4 linked regions of the Saccharomyces cerevisiae S288C genome follow. Changing the gene in region 3 together with the main gene of any one other region gives a genetic interaction. Each region holds a gene or a part of one and is shown on either strand. Other genes may lie near its edges. The genes, in order: FAA2, RMD6, MAS2 and ARO10.

Evidence for each region.
Region 1: mutations in MAS2 (region 3) and FAA2 together harm fitness more than expected from each alone (negative genetic interaction), as found in Saccharomyces cerevisiae (one large-scale study listed by BioGRID).
Region 2: mutations in MAS2 (region 3) and RMD6 together harm fitness more than expected from each alone (negative genetic interaction), as found in Saccharomyces cerevisiae (one large-scale study listed by BioGRID).
Region 4: mutations in MAS2 (region 3) and ARO10 together harm fitness more than expected from each alone (negative genetic interaction), as found in Saccharomyces cerevisiae (one large-scale study listed by BioGRID).

What each region holds. Positions count from the first base shown.
Region 1 is NC_001137.3:182,793-188,035, reverse strand, and holds FAA2 (medium-chain fatty acid-CoA ligase FAA2), read right to left. Parts: upstream 3,496-5,243; coding exon 1,261-3,495; downstream 1-1,260. Other genes in the region: BUD25 (Bud25p), read left to right, coding at 3,336-3,358, 3,867-4,305; HEM14 (oxygen-dependent protoporphyrinogen oxidase), read right to left, coding at 3,817-5,243.
Region 2 is NC_001137.3:11,444-15,475, forward strand, and holds RMD6 (Rmd6p), read left to right. Parts: upstream 1-2,276; coding exon 2,277-2,972; downstream 2,973-4,032. UniProt on the Saccharomyces cerevisiae protein: Required for sporulation. Required for meiotic nuclear division.
Region 3 is NC_001140.6:156,141-160,828, forward strand, and holds MAS2 (mitochondrial-processing protease subunit alpha), read right to left. Parts: upstream 3,053-4,688; coding exon 1,604-3,052; downstream 1-1,603. Other genes in the region: MYO1 (myosin 1), read left to right, coding at 1-1,312; THR1 (homoserine kinase), read left to right, coding at 3,298-4,371.
Region 4 is NC_001136.10:1,231,759-1,237,251, reverse strand, and holds ARO10 (phenylpyruvate decarboxylase ARO10), read right to left. Parts: upstream 3,035-5,493; coding exon 1,127-3,034; downstream 1-1,126. Other genes in the region: RNA-binding protein YRA1, read right to left, coding at 410-694; SDH6 (Sdh6p), read left to right, coding at 3,735-3,974; GTPase-activating protein RGA2, read right to left, coding at 4,056-5,493. UniProt on the Saccharomyces cerevisiae protein: One of five 2-oxo acid decarboxylases (PDC1, PDC5, PDC6, ARO10, and THI3) involved in amino acid catabolism.

The sequences.
Region 1 (5,243 bases), on a different chromosome or scaffold from region 3:
TCATTCAGGTTTCCGGAACACCTACTCTAGTTGACCTATAGAAGATACAAGGCGTCTCTTTCAGGTAAGAAGATGCCTCTCAGATGTCTTTGACTTTTCTTTATTGTTCTAGGCAAAGTGTTCTTTATACCTGTATGTATGCATCAGCAGATTGACCGGTAACATGAAAGTCTGAAAAAATCCCTGTAATGTTGTTGTCAACACATGAAAAGTTCCGTATCTTCTTTATTGGAAATCGTTAGAAGCCCTGGTTTTGCTCCTAATGGCGATTTAGCATATGCTAATTAAATCTTAAGCAAAGAGTTGTTGAACGAACCCAGACGAAATCTGTTTCTGGTTGCGTGATTTTTCTTTAGGTAGAAACACTGGAATAATTCAAGCGGGTTTCCCAGGATATCTTATTTTCAAATGATCTTTTCTTTTCTGTGGGTGAGACTACATTTTTCAAAGAGAGCATGTCCATAGTGGCAACAAGTGTGAATACGGGAAGTGAAGAGGGATAATTTTTGAATGAGTAGAGCTTCAGTCAGTCGCTCATGCAGTTTTAGCGGAGACAGAAATTCTATCTACATGGATTTCTCTGATCAGCGATATGGGGTACGCCTTCATTATTTTCTTTTAGCTAAGTCTATCATATATAAGCAACTATTCAATGGTCAAATTAACTTCAATCTCTGTCGCCGCATCCCCGATTACTATCACTTTATCTCCGTCAGATGAGAAAGGTTTACCTTTGCTGAGTTAGGTGATTACGCCCCGATATCAGGGCTCACTACATGGAAAACACTGCACCTCCATCTGAAACAGACCTCAGTTGAAGTTGTGGGAGCCGTTTTCAATCATCTTGACCCGTAGTGCACCAAGTCAAGTTACGAGAATGGTAACTGTGACCCATGTACTCCGCTAGATTGACCAGCTATATCTAGCGCTTTATGAAAGTGCAGTATCTACACTGTGGTTCCAACATAGAGAGCATTGCTTTCACTAATTGATCCTCATATATTATAGAAAGCCGCGAAAAAAAGCTTAAGAAGAATATTTAATGGTATAAATAGTTGGAATTATGTATGTCTTTAATCTTATAGTTCTTTAACAAAGTACAATAGTCTTGTGTGCTGTAGTAACGAAAGCAGGTTTATAACTACTGTTAGTCCATTATACACAGTGAGCGTTCACTATGTATACCGTATGGATGTGCATAGGGATATCCTACATCAAAGTTTTTTCTAGTTTGAATGTGTTCCAAATCGTCATAAGTACCTAAAGCTTTTCTGTCTTGACTAGTGAACCTTCGGCGTATAGTTGGTCTAATGTATCTTTGAAGAATTTTGATGCTTTGGCACGCTTTATTTTAAAAGTTGGCGTCACAACATCATCCTCGAGAGTTAAAGGCTCAAGTCCGACTTTGATGTTATGCAATTTTTCGAATCCTTGTAGCCCATCGGTGCATTTATTAATTTTGTTTAAAAATTCCTTCCTTAGCTTTTTATTACGATTTAAGTTTTCTACTAGCACTTCCTTAGTCCACGTTTTCACCTCTGGGTGCTTTGCAGCTAAAATCGGTTGCGCTGCATCAACATCAACACCAACGATGCCAACTAAAAATGTCTTTAAAGGATCTCCAAAGACAAATATTTGCGTGATATAGGGGCATGATGATAAATAAATATTTTCGATTTTCTCTGGAGCAATATATTCACCATGTGCTAGCTTGAAAAAGTTCTTGACTCGATCAATGACGCTGATGCGACCTTTTCCATCGATAAATGCAACATCTCCCGTGGAAAACCAACCATCTTGGTCAACGGCTTTTGAAGTTTCATTCGGATTTTTAAAATATCTTTCAAAAACCTGTGGGCCACGAATTTGCAGTTCACCTTTTAAATCCTTGTCGGCATGGTAACCCATTTCTGGAACAGACTTCAATCTACATTCTGCAGAAATACCTATGGCACCACAAGATCCGACATCTTTTTCAAACGGTTCGCTTAAACAGACACCAGCAAAAGTTTCAGTTAAGCCGTAGCCCTGTCTTATACCAATATCCAAGGCACTTCTTAAAAATAGTAAGGTATCTTTAGATATGGGAGCTGATCCGGTAATTATAAACGAGTTATTGGACAAACCTAAAGAGTCTCTGATTTTATCAATCAATACGCGATGATAAACTAGAAAATTCATAATCGATTTATCTGGACCACCTCTTGCGGTAAATCTGGCCGATTTAGAATCCAATATAGTATTTGCTACGTTCCTCTGGACAGTCGATTTATCCAAAGCGTTTTTTATACCGGCTTCAAACCGTGTTAATATTCTAGGAACCAGGGCAACCGCGTAAGGTTTCAAAATCTTCAAATCCTCTACCAATACAGTTGGGTCTGGTTTATGTAAGAAGCCTATTCCAAACCCGATGGCTAGATCATACGCAATAACCATTCTTTCAAAAATATGAGCCAATGGCAAAAAACACATATCATATAACTGTTGGTTTCTTTTATCTGGCGGTATTCTGAAGGTAGAAAAAGCAAATGCTATCCCAGACGCAATGTTTCTGTGAGACATTTCCACACCTTTAGGTAAACCTGTAGTACCAGAAGTAAACGAAATAGTATACAAGGAATCTGGGGTAGGTGGAATTGCAGGAATTTTGTTAAAGCAACCAACTTGTTCTACCTGCTCCAATGAAAAAAATGTGATTTTTTCATTGAGAGAGTTGCACTTAACGGGTAGCAACGATTCATTTAGCATACGGAGCTCGTCATGAGTTAATTCATCCATACAAACCAAAGTATTAACAAATTTCATATCAGGCACCATCTTCAATACATGATACATATTTGATTTTGCAAAAATCAGAATGGGGGCCTCGGTTAAATTCAATATGTACTCGGAGGTGTTTGGACCTAATGTTTCGTACAAAGCCGTGTTAGTTAGAGAATAGGCCTGACAGGCCAAATCTGTTAGGATCCATTCAGGGTTGTTGTGTGATAAGATAGCAACAACAAAATCATTGGCTTCCAAAGGACGTTTCCTTTTCGTGTTTACCAAAGACAATATACCACTTCCGATATTATGACATCTTTTAGATACCGTGGAGTACGACTCGAAACGGAATGTTTCCTCCCAGGTGCCTGTGGCTTTATCAATTGGCCTTGAACCTAAACAGTCACGTTGAGGCCATCTCCTTGCAGAAAACATGAAGTGATCGTATGCAGTTCTTAAGTTTTTATCCACACAGCTCACTAGATTTTCAGAAGAAAGAGAACTCCTATAAATCGAGCTAAAACCAGCTTCATTATCCGGATTCGAAATGGCAACCGCCTGTTTCTTTAAAAATGTTTTGTACCTGGGATAGCTGGTCAGTGGTAATTGAGAGTATAGCTCTTCAATATATTCATCAGAGCCTTTGGTGTAACCGGCTAATCTTGTCTTCAAACTTTCGAAACGAGGATCCGATTCAATTAAATCGGTAAGTGCATAATCTGGAGCGGCCATATTTCGAAACAAGTTTGTTCTTATCCGTTTTTTGTAACCTGCATTCTTCCACTTCCCTTAGCCATGCGTTTCCGATGCTTTATATAGTTCCAACCCATCATCGCTCAACTCCGCAATTAATATTGAGTTCCCTCGTTTTGACTCCAACCCATCATCGGCGGCTCGGCGTTAAAGACTGACGGTCCGGAGGATGTTCTGAAAAATTTGGTTAATATAAATAAATTGTGTCTTTTGATACTAACTACTTTTTCTTATTAGCTGATAACTGCCTCAATTGTCAAAAGAAGTAGTTTGCGTAAAGCTAACCATATATATACGTACTTATTTGCTTAGCTGTAAGGCGTCGTTAAAGCCGTCTACAATAACGTCAGGGACACCGGGACTTCTAGAAAATCCCATTCCCCCCACAGAAACTGTTTGGCCGTAAGATTCTTGCAACTTCCTTTCAGCTCTTTCTTGCCATGCGTCATAACCTACATGAAATCTTGGCAGACATCTATCGGCGATAGTGAATTCCCACTGACCAGCTTCCAGATCCTTGTTACTGATGCCGAGGTGGTTGTTCAGCGCATCTTTGACTGCATTAATGGTTACCTCCCTGGATGGCACTACAGGAACACCGTGTTCATTGAGCATACAACCTCCTATCATCGCAGTCACTTTTGTATATTTGTTGAGGGCGTTTGGGTTTGTGGAGAGTTTGTCAAAAAGTGGTTTGAAATTCCTTTCGATAACAGAATCGAAAATTACACCAAGCAATTTCCCTGGATTCTTATTGGATTTGGGAACCAAGTATCCAAAGCCTTGTAGATCGGCATCTATTACATCTTTGTTTGGCAAATAATAATTAACTAAAATTATTGTGTTTGATTGTATCTCATCTAATAACTTGGATAATGAATTTTGATCCTTCGGTAGCAATTTAGCGATTTTGGGAGGTGTTATCGTAAGTCTTAAATGGTCAAATGTTTCGTATTGGTCGCCAGATTTCGCTTTCAATCCGATTGTCGTTTCGTTAGCAGGGCGTTTCATTATTTGCGTAACCGGGTTCCCAGTAACTATTTTGACGTTTTTAAATTCGTTCAAAGCATTTCTGACTATCTTGGGAAACGTTTCTAGTCCCCCAGCAAGACCCAACATGGGATATTTCTTTAGCGTGTTGGATAAGTCTAATAACTTTGACCTGTCTTTTCCAAACGCATTTGAGTAGTCGTTAAGGCAGCCAGTTAAAGATTGGTGCAGGTTCTCAGTTTTTTTACTTCTTGACTTTCCGCGCATATTATCAATCATAGCTTGTGTGTTAGATCCGTGCTTTAGTTCATTGTAGTATATTTTCTTAAACGTTCTCTTGGCACTTAATAGGGAAACGTCATCCCCATAGATACCTCTTAGTAAGGCACTGATCATATTGTTTGATATGTAGTTATTCCCAAACCTTCTGTCACAAATGGATTCGACACTTTCGTCTTGGCCAGGATGTGGAGATTTTTTTCTGAACCATTCTCCCATCATACCCGTGATGAGTCCTTTTCCCAACGGATTCAGCAGAAATTTTACTGTTGTAGATATCGAATTAGGAACCTGCACGAGTTTATCACTGGGGTCTAGTAGAAACTTTTTGTCTGCAATGCAACCTTTATCAATGCTTTGAATAACTGCTTCCTTGCCCAAGTCTTTAAGGGTATCCATAATCAGAACGGTCCCGTCTGATACGCCCCTCAATGTTCTGGGTCCCTTCTCCAACATAA
Region 2 (4,032 bases), on a different chromosome or scaffold from region 3:
ACTGCCAAGAAGCATTCAGTAAAATACATCTTCATCATTTACTGATAATACTCATTCAGACTCATATCATACTATTTCGAATTCATTATACATCCTCAAAAACCATATTCTTCAGTTGTAATAAAAGATAGAGCCTGCATTTGATTCGATTTCCGTAATTTGGGGGGCCAAGTCCTAGGTTGACTTCATCTTGGATGTCTATCGCGATGCATTTAGTGTGGCATAGAATTTCTCTCTTCACGAGCAGGGAAGGAATTGTATTATATTATTTGGTAATCGCCTAGTCACAGTCATTTAGAAGAAACTTAGCATCATTATTCCAGCATCATGCACCAGAACAGGAAAATGCCATTTCTAAAAGTATTCTCATAGCCATTAAACGATTCAATACTTTTTTGGTAGCTAAGTCAATGCCTCTCTGAATATTGTATACTATATGAATAAAGTGATCCCATAATCAGACTACCCAGCACTTAGTAGCGCATTTTAGAACTAAATATATATTGCCTTTTTAATACTGTAACTTGAGAATTCTTAATAAGGAACAACAATGGTCCAGAAGGTGTTCGGTAGAAAGATAGAAAATTTTAAACCATACACTATCAAGCAATATTATACTTGTTCTTTAATCAAGAGGGGATTGTACTTTTATTTGATTTGAGGCCGGGTATCTTGATTTCACTTATGTTATACTGTCTCTTAGTTGATAAATTCAATGTTACATTTGCTATCTCATTTTCAGGTCAGCAGCTATATTGACCTTGCTTACATTCAGCGCGTGTGAGGCACTACCTTTAAAACTCTTGTGCTCCTTATTCACCATAGTCTGTTATCCGTTTGTTCTTACGGAGGAAACTGCAATTGATCATTTATGAATCTTTTAGTGAAATTTAGACACTATTAAAATTTAATAATAGGCAAAGTACGTCAATTATCATTCTTGGTTCCTGAAAAGTTGAATCTGTTATGAAGTCTGATATTTGGGGTTAGCATTGTATACTTCCCTTGAGTAATGCATTATCCGTAACGCCACTTTTACCATATTCAAGTGCAGGTATATTTAGCATTTTTTACATATAATATACTGACCTCCGAAGCTAGGTGAGAGAAAGCAAAGGTTTTGAGGGCTATTTTCACCATTGGAACTAAGATCGTACACACTAATTAACTCTCTGCCGGAGGCGCGCGATATATGGGCTGGAGCGGTCCTGACTAAAGTCCTGCTGGAATATTGGTGAAGTGTCTCAAAAAACTAGTAAGGTCAATATCAGGGAAGGAACTATTATTGGCCGAGGCGGCAGCTAGGTTAAAGAATCTAGCCGTCAATGCAACGAAGGTTATCAAGTACATTCAGTTGGATACATTAAAAAAGTTGAATACAATATCAATTCTAGAAGATTGTAGCAAGTTTGGTGAGATAGTTTACGCCTATAATATATAAGTGCTAACTCAATGTTCAGTTAGTAGAATCACAGCCTGAATATTCTGTGCATCGTTTACTCAGGGACAGATGCGATCTCAATGCAGGGACGAAAAACAGTCTTATATGCGCACGCCAGCAAAATCTTTTTTTGCGGCACCTAAGATCTCTCGCATGATAAAAGCATAATATCTTTGCCCCACAAAGTCAAGGCGTATTGGAAAAGCTACTTTAGTTAATAATGAAATGATCGCCCATCCGGGTAAAAATGGTTACAATTCCAGTGTTGATTATTGTTCGTTTTTCAGAGAGAATAATTTAGATGCTCCTATTGAAGAATATCTTGTTAGCGCATAGGGCAATCATCTACGACTTTAACCGCAACTGCGTCTGTTACCGACATTGGAGGATTGTATGCTCAAATGACCCCTGTGGTGAAGATGAACACTTCTTGCACACTATGGTTGAATCTTGACGGTACCCTCACTCAGAGTTTTATAGTATCACACGACGCTACTCTCCCGCTTGTACATTCATTCTGGCTAGTTTATAATAACGTTAAGGAAATGACACCCATACCTCTCAGAAATCCAATTGGAAATAATATTTGTAAAAGCACGTGATATTGCCTTTTTCTTTTATCTGGTTACCAATATGGGATCAATAACTTTACTTTTGAAGATCTTGTTTTTCCTTCAGATAAGAAATCAAAAAAAGAATATATGCACAAAACAGTATGGATATAATACACCTTACTCTTGGTCGTGATTGAAAACGTAAGGTTCTACATAAATTATTGAGAAAGACTTATTTGAAGATATCGAGAGTCTATCATGCCCTTTGCACAACAAAACTAATGTCAGCTTGCCCTTGCAACATCGTTATACTCCCAGTCGAGATTTTGAAGAATTCATCTAAAGATACTAAGTATAGCTTGTATACAACAATTAATCGAGGATATGATGTCCCAAGACTCAAATATGGCATCATAGTTAGCCCTCGAGTGCACAGCCTTGAGACTTTATTCAGTGATCTGGGCTTTGACAAGAATATAGAGAAATCCTCGCTTTACTTATTATTAAATGATCCTACCTTAGCATACCCTAATTTCCATGAACATTTTGAACAGCTTAAAGGTGAAACAAACAAAGATTTATCTCTACCGACATATTATATTCCGAAGGTCCAGTTTTTGACAGAGGCATTCGATTCAGAACATACCCTAGCAACCATCGGCTACAAACCAAATAATAAGGAGAGTTATGAGATCACAGGTTTTACATCCATGGGTAATGGTTATGGTATAAAACTATTCAATTACAGTGTAATTCATATGATGCGGTCTCATAAGTGTAAAAGAGTGGTTGCAGATATTATCATGGAGCATGACCTATTGGGTTACTATGAAAAGAAGCTTGGCTTTGTAGAGGTGCAAAGGTTCAAAGTTCTCAAAGAACAGCACCAAGTAAAGGTATTTGACGATAAAGTTGACTTTACCAAAGACTTTCATGTGATCAAAATGATTAAAGAGTTGGGAAATCATAGATTGTAGTGGTATAGTCCCGTACACACTCTATTTGAATAAACTGTAGGTTCTGCTGAGCAACATATTGATATAAACAGTAAAAAGAAGTGGGTTCCTTGTTTTCCTGCAATTATAACTAACCGTGCTTACTACCAAAAAAAAAGTGCGTATAAATATTCACTATTTACAATGTTGAAGGTTCCAGATGGATACAGAATAGGAATCCTAAATATAAACACTATATTTATTTATTTTTTTCGAATAAAAGTCATGTTAGCAATATTTATATAGTTGATTTTCCTGCATTTATTATATAATTGGCGGCATAGTAACATCAAAAAAAAAAAAAAAAACATTCAAATTGCACTACTTATAGCAGTAGCATCTATAAAAGTTTTATGATATAAACCTTTACAGTTATCTCAAATGGTTTTGGGATTGTCCATCAAATCAAGCGTGATTCATCTATACGTTATTATTCTCCTACAACCCCCTTAGTTTGGAGAGCGCTTAGAGAAATAAAGCATCGATGTTTTCTTACCTTCACTAAAATCAAAATAAAAAAGCTTTTCTATAGTTCACGAATTACGCAATTTATTCTATCATCCTTAAAGTTGATCAATTGCGATTTTAACACACATTTTCAAATGTCATTTTGCGCTTGTATAATAGGTGCCATCTGGACACTTTATAAAAAATAAAGGAAAAGTAAAATATAATGCTGAAAATATAGTTGCCTTAAAATGCCATTGATATGATTTTTTTTTAACCTTAAATCTATTGGCCTATAATATTCGCGGCAAAATGAGCATTTGAAAATCAGTAATAGAATGCTATCAAACTTCGTTCATGACCTTTTTAGCATCATAAGTGTTGAATCGAATCTATCAGTTCAGTAATTAAAAATACTATTTTTCTGTCAGCACAGAACGTAACGACTTTTCCTTATATCCACTATTGATTTCTCTTTAAAGTGCTATGTAAAGTACCTAAAAAACTTGTTATAGAAGTCTCATTCGAAAGCATGTGGGCTCAAAAATTGTGAATAAGATACATAGAAGGAGCCGCTGATCGACACATAATAGTA
Region 3 (4,688 bases):
GCAAGGGAATGAACTGCGGCTAAGAGAACATATTCATGCACTAAAACAAGCTGAAGAGGACGTAAAGAATATGGCGTCTATCATTGAAAAATTGAAAACTCAAAATAAGCAAAAGGAAAAGTTAATCTGGGAGCGCGAAATGGAAAGAAATGACTCAGATATGCAATTACAGGAAACTCTGCTGGAGTTGAAGAGAGTCCAAGATGTAAAGAAAATCCTGAGTGATGATTTGGCCCATTTAAAGGAGCGATTGAGCGCTGTAGAAGATAGATCCCAATATACGGATGAGATTAATAGATTAAAGGAAGAATTGAACTGCTCTTTAAAAGCTGAAACAAACTTAAAAAAAGAATTTGCAACCCTTAAGTACAAACTGGAAACTTCGACTAATGATTCTGAAGCAAAAATCTCCGATCTGCTGAAGCAGCTCGATCATTATACAAAAGTGGTGGAAATGTTGAACAACGAAAAAGATGCTATTTCTCTTGCAGAAAAAGAACTTTATCAGAAATACGAGGCACTCAATACTGAATGCGAGTCTCTTAAAGGAAAGATAGTGTCTTTGACTAAAATCAAGCAGGAACTGGAATCTGACTTAAATCAAAAGACTGATGCGCTACAGATATCAAACGCAGCACTCTCAAGTTCCACACAAAAGAATAAAGAGATTACTGAAAAAATCAAATATCTGGAGGAAACACTACAACTGCAAATGGAACAAAATTCAAGGAATGGGGAGTTGGTTAAGACATTACAGGCCAGCTGCAATGGATATAAAGATAAGTTTGATGATGAGAAGCAGAAGAATATTGATTTATATGAAGAAAATCAAACTTTACAAAAGCTCAACACCGACTTACAGCTTCAACTAAAAAATTTGCATGAAAGATTATCAGACACTACTGAAAAAAACGCATGGTTATCAAAGATTCATGAATTGGAAAATATGGTAAGCCTAGAAACGGACTTGAAATATGAAGAAATGAAAAAGAACAAGAGTTTGGAGAGAGCAGTGGAAGAGTTACAAACTAAGAACTCCCAACAAACAGATGTAATAGAACTAGCGAATAAAAATAGAAGCGAATTTGAGGAAGCTACTTTGAAATATGAGGCTCAAATCTCTGACTTAGAAAAGTACATTTCTCAACAAGAGCTTGAGATGAAAAAATCCATTAGAGATAATTCTTCTTACCGCGACAAAGTGCAGGAAATGGCCCAAGAAATTGAATTCTGGAAAAGCCGTTATGAATCTACCATGATAGGCTCGAAAAATATTGATAGTAACAATGCACAGAGTAAAATTTTCAGTTAACGAACTTTTTTTTAAAAATTTGGAAGACTTTATATCCTTTATTTAAAAAAATAATGATGAGATGTTTTGTATATACAGAATGAGAATATGCATTATTAACAGAAAAAGACGACACGAGCGTTATATACTAAGTGGCATGAACTCTTTCACCCCGTATCCTTCGATAGTAGTCTTAAAGGTGGTACATAAAATAAAGAAAATAACCGATTCAATAGATAAGCAGCGGAAATAAAGTCTTTTTCCTATCTTGAAATCTCCAAAATAAAAGTAATAAAGTACTGCTAAAGTTGTTCAAAACCAACCCTTCTTCTTGGGACTATCGTTTTTGGAGGAGGAGCTGTTACCCAATCCATATGCCTTCAGTACATTTTCCACATCTCCAAAGGATCCTCTGTCTCCTTGCATTACAACAGTAGCTCTACCCTTACCATTGCCAGCATTATTTACATTTCCCGTAAATATCATTTCGGCAACACGTGAGATATCATCTGGCTTCAAATCTTCGATCTTACTTATCATTTCGTTGACTGGGATTTTGCGACCATGCATGAGAACTTGTCTGCCCATATCTTCCAATTCTACCAGTTTAGACTCTAGGTTCATTAGTAGTGAAGACTTCAACTGATTCTTGGCCCTGGAGACTTCGTCTTCAGTTAACCTCAAATCCTTATTAGCAAATGTATTATACATTTGCTGTGCAATTACCTCAACCGCTTGAGGAGCTGCCTGCGGTATACAAGATAATGAAATACCGAAAATACCAGAATCCGAATAAGAATGGTTGAACGCAACACAATTTTCAACAAAGTAATACTGGTTCAAAACGTGGGTATACAAACGAGAATACATCCCCTTTCCTGGCCCACCAGCACTGAAAGAACCACCACCTCCAAGTAAAGTTTGTAATGTTGCTAAAGCATAAATGTCTGGATGATCTATAGGGAGACCTTCAAATCCGATCTGGATGTGGAATAATTCTGGTAAATTCCCAAACACTGGTGCTGGTGGAATACAACTTTCCCCGCCCGTATATTGGGCAACTTTTTTGGTGATCGGAGGGTGTGTAGATTGCCAGTCACCGAGATACTTTTCTGTAAGCTCTAATGCCTTTTCGTGAGGAACACCAACAAATGCCGCAACAGTATTTTCTGGGGTGTAGAATTTATTTCTGTAGTCCAATAAGTAGTATTTAGAAATAGAAGGAATGAGCTCTCTAGGGCAGATTAAAGGGGACCCCAAAGTTTCTCCGGAGTATGCTGCTGTGTGCAACAGCTCAGGTAATACCAATTCTGGCTTCATCCAAACTTCATCGATTTCATACTCTGCCGACAGCTTCTGTTCTTGCAGTTCTTGCTCAGTAATCTTAGGGAACCTCACAGTTTCTGACATTAATTGAAGCATTTTACCCACATCCTGGTTGAACACAGAAGCCTGATACATCAAATTTTCTCTAGACGAGGTACACTGGTAATTCCCACCCAGTAACTCCAACGTCTCTGCCATTGCTCGGCCCTCGACGTGTTCGGTTGATTTGAATGCTAGTCTATCCAAGATATGTGTACAACCCTTCAAATTCCTACCTTCAAACCGTGATCCTGCGTCGATGTATAGGCCTAAGGCACTAAAGTGTCCAGGAGTATTTGATGTCGCCACTTTCAGTCCATTCGCTAGTGACGAAAGCTTAAAATTATCGGTTCTAGCGATGTTAGAGTACAACCTCTGAACGCCGTTCCTTAGCATCTTTTGTTATTAATCAGCTCTCTGCTTTGCATTAATTTGACCACCTGCCCTGAAACACCTTTCTTCTAGTCCACCTGTGTAGGCTTTTTCACCTGAATTGTTCATTCTCGATACGCCCTCACGCCGGATGAAAAATTTGTGCAAGAGTCATCATCTCGAAAAGATATGGTGATAAAAACAAGTGTACTTCTAACCTGCCTAATGGTTATAACAGTAGCATAAAGTAGATATACGGACTACAGAAAATGGTTCGTGCCTTCAAAATTAAAGTTCCAGCTTCTTCCGCCAATATCGGCCCTGGTTATGATGTTCTTGGTGTCGGTCTTTCTCTATTCTTGGAGTTAGATGTCACCATCGACTCCAGCCAAGCTCAGGAAACAAACGACGATCCCAACAACTGCAAGCTGTCTTACACTAAAGAAAGTGAAGGCTATTCTACGGTCCCATTGCGTTCTGATGCTAACCTGATTACCAGGACTGCGTTATATGTGTTGCGTTGCAACAATATTAGAAACTTCCCCTCCGGAACCAAAGTTCACGTCTCCAACCCAATCCCACTTGGCCGTGGATTGGGTTCCTCTGGTGCAGCAGTTGTGGCAGGTGTTATTTTAGGTAACGAAGTGGCCCAATTGGGTTTCTCTAAGCAACGTATGTTGGACTACTGTTTGATGATTGAACGTCATCCAGACAACATAACCGCTGCTATGATGGGAGGCTTTTGCGGTTCATTCCTAAGGGACTTGACCCCACAAGAGGTGGAAAGACGTGAGATTCCATTGGCTGAGGTGCTTCCAGAACCTTCTGGTGGTGAAGATACCGGTCTGGTTCCCCCATTACCTCCCACCGATATCGGTAGACATGTCAAATACCAATGGAACCCCGCCATTAAATGTATTGCGATCATCCCACAGTTCGAGTTGTCCACCGCCGACTCCAGAGGCGTTCTTCCAAAAGCCTACCCAACCCAGGACTTGGTTTTCAATCTACAAAGATTGGCCGTCTTGACCACAGCTTTGACCATGGACCCACCTAATGCCGACTTAATCTACCCTGCTATGCAAGATCGTGTCCACCAACCTTATAGAAAGACATTGATCCCAGGTCTCACGGAAATCTTATCATGTGTCACCCCATCCACATACCCTGGCCTATTGGGTATCTGCTTGTCAGGTGCAGGCCCAACTATCTTGGCTTTGGCCACTGAGAATTTCGAAGAAATCTCTCAAGAAATTATCAACAGGTTCGCCAAAAACGGCATCAAGTGCTCCTGGAAACTACTGGAGCCTGCCTACGATGGTGCTAGCGTCGAACAGCAATGAAATGTCCTTTACCCCTAGTATACTGTGTTAAATACTATTGTAGACCATATACATACTGTAATTGACCGTTAACGGTTATTATGCTGAGTCTTCTTCCGTTACCCGTCTTTTCTATCTATTTCGAAAATAAAAAATAAGTGAAAAGAACGAAATTTCACAACCATTAACAATACAGATAATGAATCGAAGTTGTTTTCAGTCTCAATTCAAAAGACTCATAGCCAAGGCCAGTTGATTGATTTAGCCACAAGTATCATTCAACGTAATATCCACAGGTGTTTTTTTTCTCACCGGAAGGCGAATAAAATACAGGAGCT
Region 4 (5,493 bases), on a different chromosome or scaffold from region 3:
CTTCAGTATTGGATGATACGCTTATTAAAAATAGGAACTAACTATCACGGTCGAGGCGACACAATACGCCAGCTTAAAAATGTAAGATTGACAGATTAGCAGATAGTCAGATTGATTTGAGTTAACCCAGCCAATAAGAACAAACCCATTCTCAGTGGTAGCTGGTAATTCCAACCTTATAGGCCATGATTTGAAGTATTGAAAAAAATTGGTATGGTTGGCTTATGAAAACGATACTCTTTTTGTATTTTCTCTAGCGAAGTATTTCGGACTCTTTCTTCATCTCTAAAAAGAGAATTCTTGATCAAAAGCGTGTGCCATATCCTTCCTTACAAAGAATATTTCTCGTATCCACACGAGACGATGCGAGTAACTAAACAAATAGCTCTCATTTCACGTATTAACATACTCTTACAGCATCCTGCTTAATGTCCCTTGGCAAACCTTCGACGTTGACCTTGACCTCTCTAGTGGTGTCCAAGAGCTTGGCAACTCTAGCGACTGCGTTTGGAGGTGCCCTAGTATTTTTTCTGATAGGGCCTCTTCTGTTTGGAAGGCTCCTACGTTGGCTACCAACTTGCTTACCAACTCTTCTTGGACCGTTACCACGAGTACCACCGACACGGGCTCTATTACTTCCTGCTTTGTTAGAGCCAATGATTTCGTCTAAGGATTTATCTAAGTTAGCAGACATTTAGCAGATGTAGGTATTTTCTTAATATGGATTTCTTAAAGTTTCAAATAGAACGAGGGAGATTTTTTTATCTATTTGTCTTCGATAGTTTTCGGATAAAACTTCTTCTAACAAAAAAACCTACTACTAAACACACGATAGGAATGACAGAAAAAAGCGAACGGAAGAAGTGAAAAAGGATAAATTTGGCGGCCTTTTATAGTTCTTCAAGTGGTGAGCCGAAAGCCGTGGAAAAACAACACGTCTCCCCGCCCCTGCCTCGTCGCGAAAAAAAAAATACTAGCAACTGGACAAAGAACTCTGTGGTAGTGGTAAAATAGCTTTAATATACGTATTTACTTTGTAAATATAGTTACATAAGGGTTTTTTATGTGTTAATGAACAGAAAACGAACAATTGGTAGCAGTGTTTTATAATTGCGCCCACAAGTTTCTATTTTTTATTTCTTTTAAGTGCCGCTGCTTCAACCATGCACTTTAGCTGTTCGGGGAAATCCAATTCGCCTAATTTGACTTCTAAAAGTTCTATCCCGCTTCTTTTGTTTGAATTCTTAAGCTCCTCCAATTTCAGTGCTAATTTAGAGGGACATTGAATGAGAGTGCTATTAGTATACTTTCCGTCGAAGTCTCCGAATGCTTCAAATAGTTTGGTCCATTTCCAAGACATAACGTCGTTATACGACCTGGTAGGGCCCATGATGGCTCTTTCAATAGTGTAGCCGTTATTGTTCCAAATGATAACTTCTAGTGGAATATTGCACTTCAGAATGGTGCTCAGTTCTTGGATTGTCATCTGTGCTGCACCGTCACCTTCAAACAAAATTAATCTTGGCTTATAGTCCTCTTTTACGTTGCCACCATTGATGTGAGCGTTTGAGTGGTCTTGCATGGCAATTCCAACACCTAGGGCGGCAGGAAGGGCCATGCCAATGGAAAGGAAAAATCCTTGCGATATATATTTTAATTGCGAAGGAAACGCGAAATCACGAACAGAGAATTGAAAAGAGCCTGTTTCACAAACGACAACATCACCAGGGTTCAAAAATTTAGGCATCGTCTTTTGTAAGTGAACTTGTGTAATAATGCTTGATTGTCCATTGGTAGGATCTTCTAACCGCATTGTTTCGTTCGTATATTGAGTTACATTTGAATCATATTGCAAAGAAAGTTTAGAAACGTCAATGCGCTTGTATAGTTCTTTTAAAATAGGGGCAAAATTGATTCCTTTGAACATTTGCTCATTGCCCTGCCTAGTGTCCACAAGGCGAATATAATTCGGATGAAATTGAATGATTTTAGCATTTGGTTTATAAGTAAAAGTATAATGCCCATTATTAATTTCATTGATGTCGACTCCAAAATGCAAGACCAAGTCGCACAGTTCAAAATGTTCATAGACTTGTTTTAAACCTTCTTTACCATTATATTGACCCATATAAGTTGGGTTTGACTCATCAATTACAGATTTTCCCATAACAGTGGAAAAATTCCAAATCCCAGTTTTGCAGATAAGCTTGTTCAAAAAGTTACTCACACCATACCTATCAGTCAGTACGTCTCCAAGGATCGCAGGTGTTTTACTGGAATATATCCAACTAGTAATCTTGTTGATTATGTCAGACAATTGGTTTTCAGAAGGGTATACTATACAATCTTGTTGAGATATACGTGGAACATTAACCAAATTATCACATGTAACAGACATATCCGCAAAATCTGCAGGAACAAAAATATAACCAGGTTTAGAATACTTGTAAATATCGCGGATAACATTATCGACTTGGTCACATGCAGTTTCAATATCCTCCAAGTAGGCTACCGAGCAAGCGACTCTATCTTTTACCATATCATGATATACTTTATGATTTGGCCCTTTAAAATTTGAATCATGTAGCTGTGGGACCAAATGATGTAGGTTCCGATCACTAAAGTTACTTGAACGCGAATCTATGGACTTGGCCACACCAACAATGTGCAAAACTTTGACATTTTCAGCGAACGAACCGGCTATACCGTTCAAGGCGCTTAATTCACCAACGCCATACGTGGTTATTAAACAGCCAATCTTATTAGAGTAACGGGAATATCCGTCGGCCGCATAAGCGGCGTTCAGTTCATTACACGTGCCGACCCATCTTAGGCCAGCTGATTCAACACTAGGTGAATAGAGATATTCTAATAGAGATAAGTTGAAGTCACCAGGAACACCGAAAACTGATTTCGTATCGATGGACAACAATCTTTTAAATATGTATTCACCAAACGGAATTGTTGCTGATCGGTTGGAAACAAGGTGTCGTTCTTCTTGATTTACGAACTTTTCAATTGTAACAGGTGCCATGCTTAAGGGAGTTTCTTTGTTATCTTGTAAATAAACTTTACAGAAGTCGCGTCAACTTGTTTTGAGTATCAAGTTGAGAGGGTTGATCAGTTAAATATGTTTTATATCAGATTTTATGTAGTATTAATAAACGCAGAAAAAAAATGAAAGTGAGCTGCCGCTGTAGTGACGATGCAAACTAGCCCAGTTTATATCTTAAACTTTACTCAACACAATAAATAAGATGCCACTAACCTATTACATACCGACACTTACCGAAGGTATCAAAGCTCCGCCGCACAAAAGTACGACAAATGCTCAGCATGACCTCGGCAATTTTCGGTAAATGACGGCTATCCGCGGTTATCCCTCCCGGTAGGTAACCGACACTTTGGAGAGGATTCGCAAAGGCTCAAAGTAATATATGACGGCTTTTTCAAAAAATAGCCTAAGCCTACTACCAAATGTTAATAAGGAAGCTACATGAGGTGTACAAGCATCGAATTTTGGATTATCTTTTTCGCTAAGACGTTGTTGTACGCTTTCAATCCTGCTTTTTTAAATTTCGGTGGACGAACCAATCTAAAATGTAGTAAAACTGGTAGATGTTAATTAATTAACCTTGCAAAGCCGAAGAAAAAAAGGGGTTCGCCAAATTATTCTTAACAAAGATAATGTAGCTTAAACACACAAGAAGAAGAGGAGACGCAATACCAAGAGCATGCCTAAGAGATTAAGTGGGTTACAAAAAGAAGTCTTACACCTGTATAGGGCTTCCATACGAACGGCTCATACAAAACCAAAGGAAAACCAAGTTAATTTTGTGAATTATATTCATGAAGAATTTGGGAAGTATAGAAATTTGCCAAGAAAAGACTTCACCACCATTGAACACTTGTTACGGGTCGGAAACAAAAAAATTGCCACCTTTTCACACCCTGAACTGACGAATATACATTGAACTATTTTCTTACTTTATTCTTTTTTCATATGATTTCTTATTTAATCTATCCTATGTTTATTTAACTTTTGCAAATCTGTATTATGCTTGCTTAAATATGTCTCTATAGTTTCCAAGTATAAATTCCACGATATAATTCCTCTCCTTCATGTCCACAATATCTTTCTCGCCGTCAAAATCGTGGATAAGACTCGGTGCAAAGACCAACGACAAGTTATGTAAGTTCATTAAATTTCTTTCACTGCACCTTCGAACTTTGCCGATATGTGCTGCCAATACTTTCAATACTTCCTGATGCTCTACGGGTAAAATTTTGAAAATTTCAAGTAGGCTTTTGAGCACCATTTCATAAATAGTCACTTTTTGTGGTGAATCCAAAAACTTGTCGTTGTTTAATGGTAGCCTCTCAATTAGTTGGTTATTTCTAACTAGATCTATCAAGGCATCGTATATGGAAAATGATAAAACTGGATCTGGTAGTTTTCTCAAATATCGTTTTAATACGCTAGCCACTGCATGAATATCTTGATTCAGTAAAGCATTCAGTTTGGGACTTAATGTATCACTATGCAACGAATTATTCTGAGCGAATTCATTTTCGATCTCCTCAACCAAAGTCTGTGAGCCCGACTTTCTGTATAAGCCTTCCATGTTCAGGCCTATATCATCTTTTTCAATGCGATCAATGCAGCACCTGATAATTATTGGAACAGTACTTTTTTCATACGCACATCGAGCTTGTAGCGAAGATCCATATAAATGGGAACCATCAGGCGTATAATCTAATCTCTTTGGACTTGGCGACAGTGGTACTTTGCCTGGAGAAGGAAGCTCATCGTGTACTCGAATTAATTTCGGTGATGATATTTCTTTCTGTGCTATATTTGTCGTTCCGCCTGAAGATGAATTTGGCGAACGTTGCTGTGATTCTAGATCGCCTACCTGGTGATCCTTAGCACTTGAAAATATTTTCCAGAAGCGTGGTTTAGGACTGGCATTAGATATGCTCCCTTTTCTGTCGGAATTTGAACTTGGTGACTTTACAGTGATTGATGTTGCAATGTTTTCTTTTTGTTCTAAGGACTCCCGGGAAGATGCAGATTGCTTATCCTTTTCTCTTGTTAAATTGTCAACATCATTTAACAGCCTCTCTTTCGCTAATCTTAGATTTTCAACATCTTGTAATAATTTTTTCTTCGTACCTTCTAGTTCCCTCACATCTAATTTTAACTTCCTTAAAGTCAACTCAGTAAAGTAAAAGTCCTTTTCCAAGCTTGTAGCGCTTTCATCAGTAGCATCCACTTTCGTGGAATCGTCTTCCAACAATGCATTAGTGGATCTAGACGTCTGTAAGCTAGAAGATCTGTGGTGTGCGGACTCAGATGACAGAGATGGCCTCTTAAATAATGGCCCTGATTCCAAAGGCGGCGTACGGAACATTGCTATATGATGCCCCGAGCTTGAACTTGTAAATGAACCATTTATGCGTCTATTAGTGGCTGTATCATTAGAATTTTGC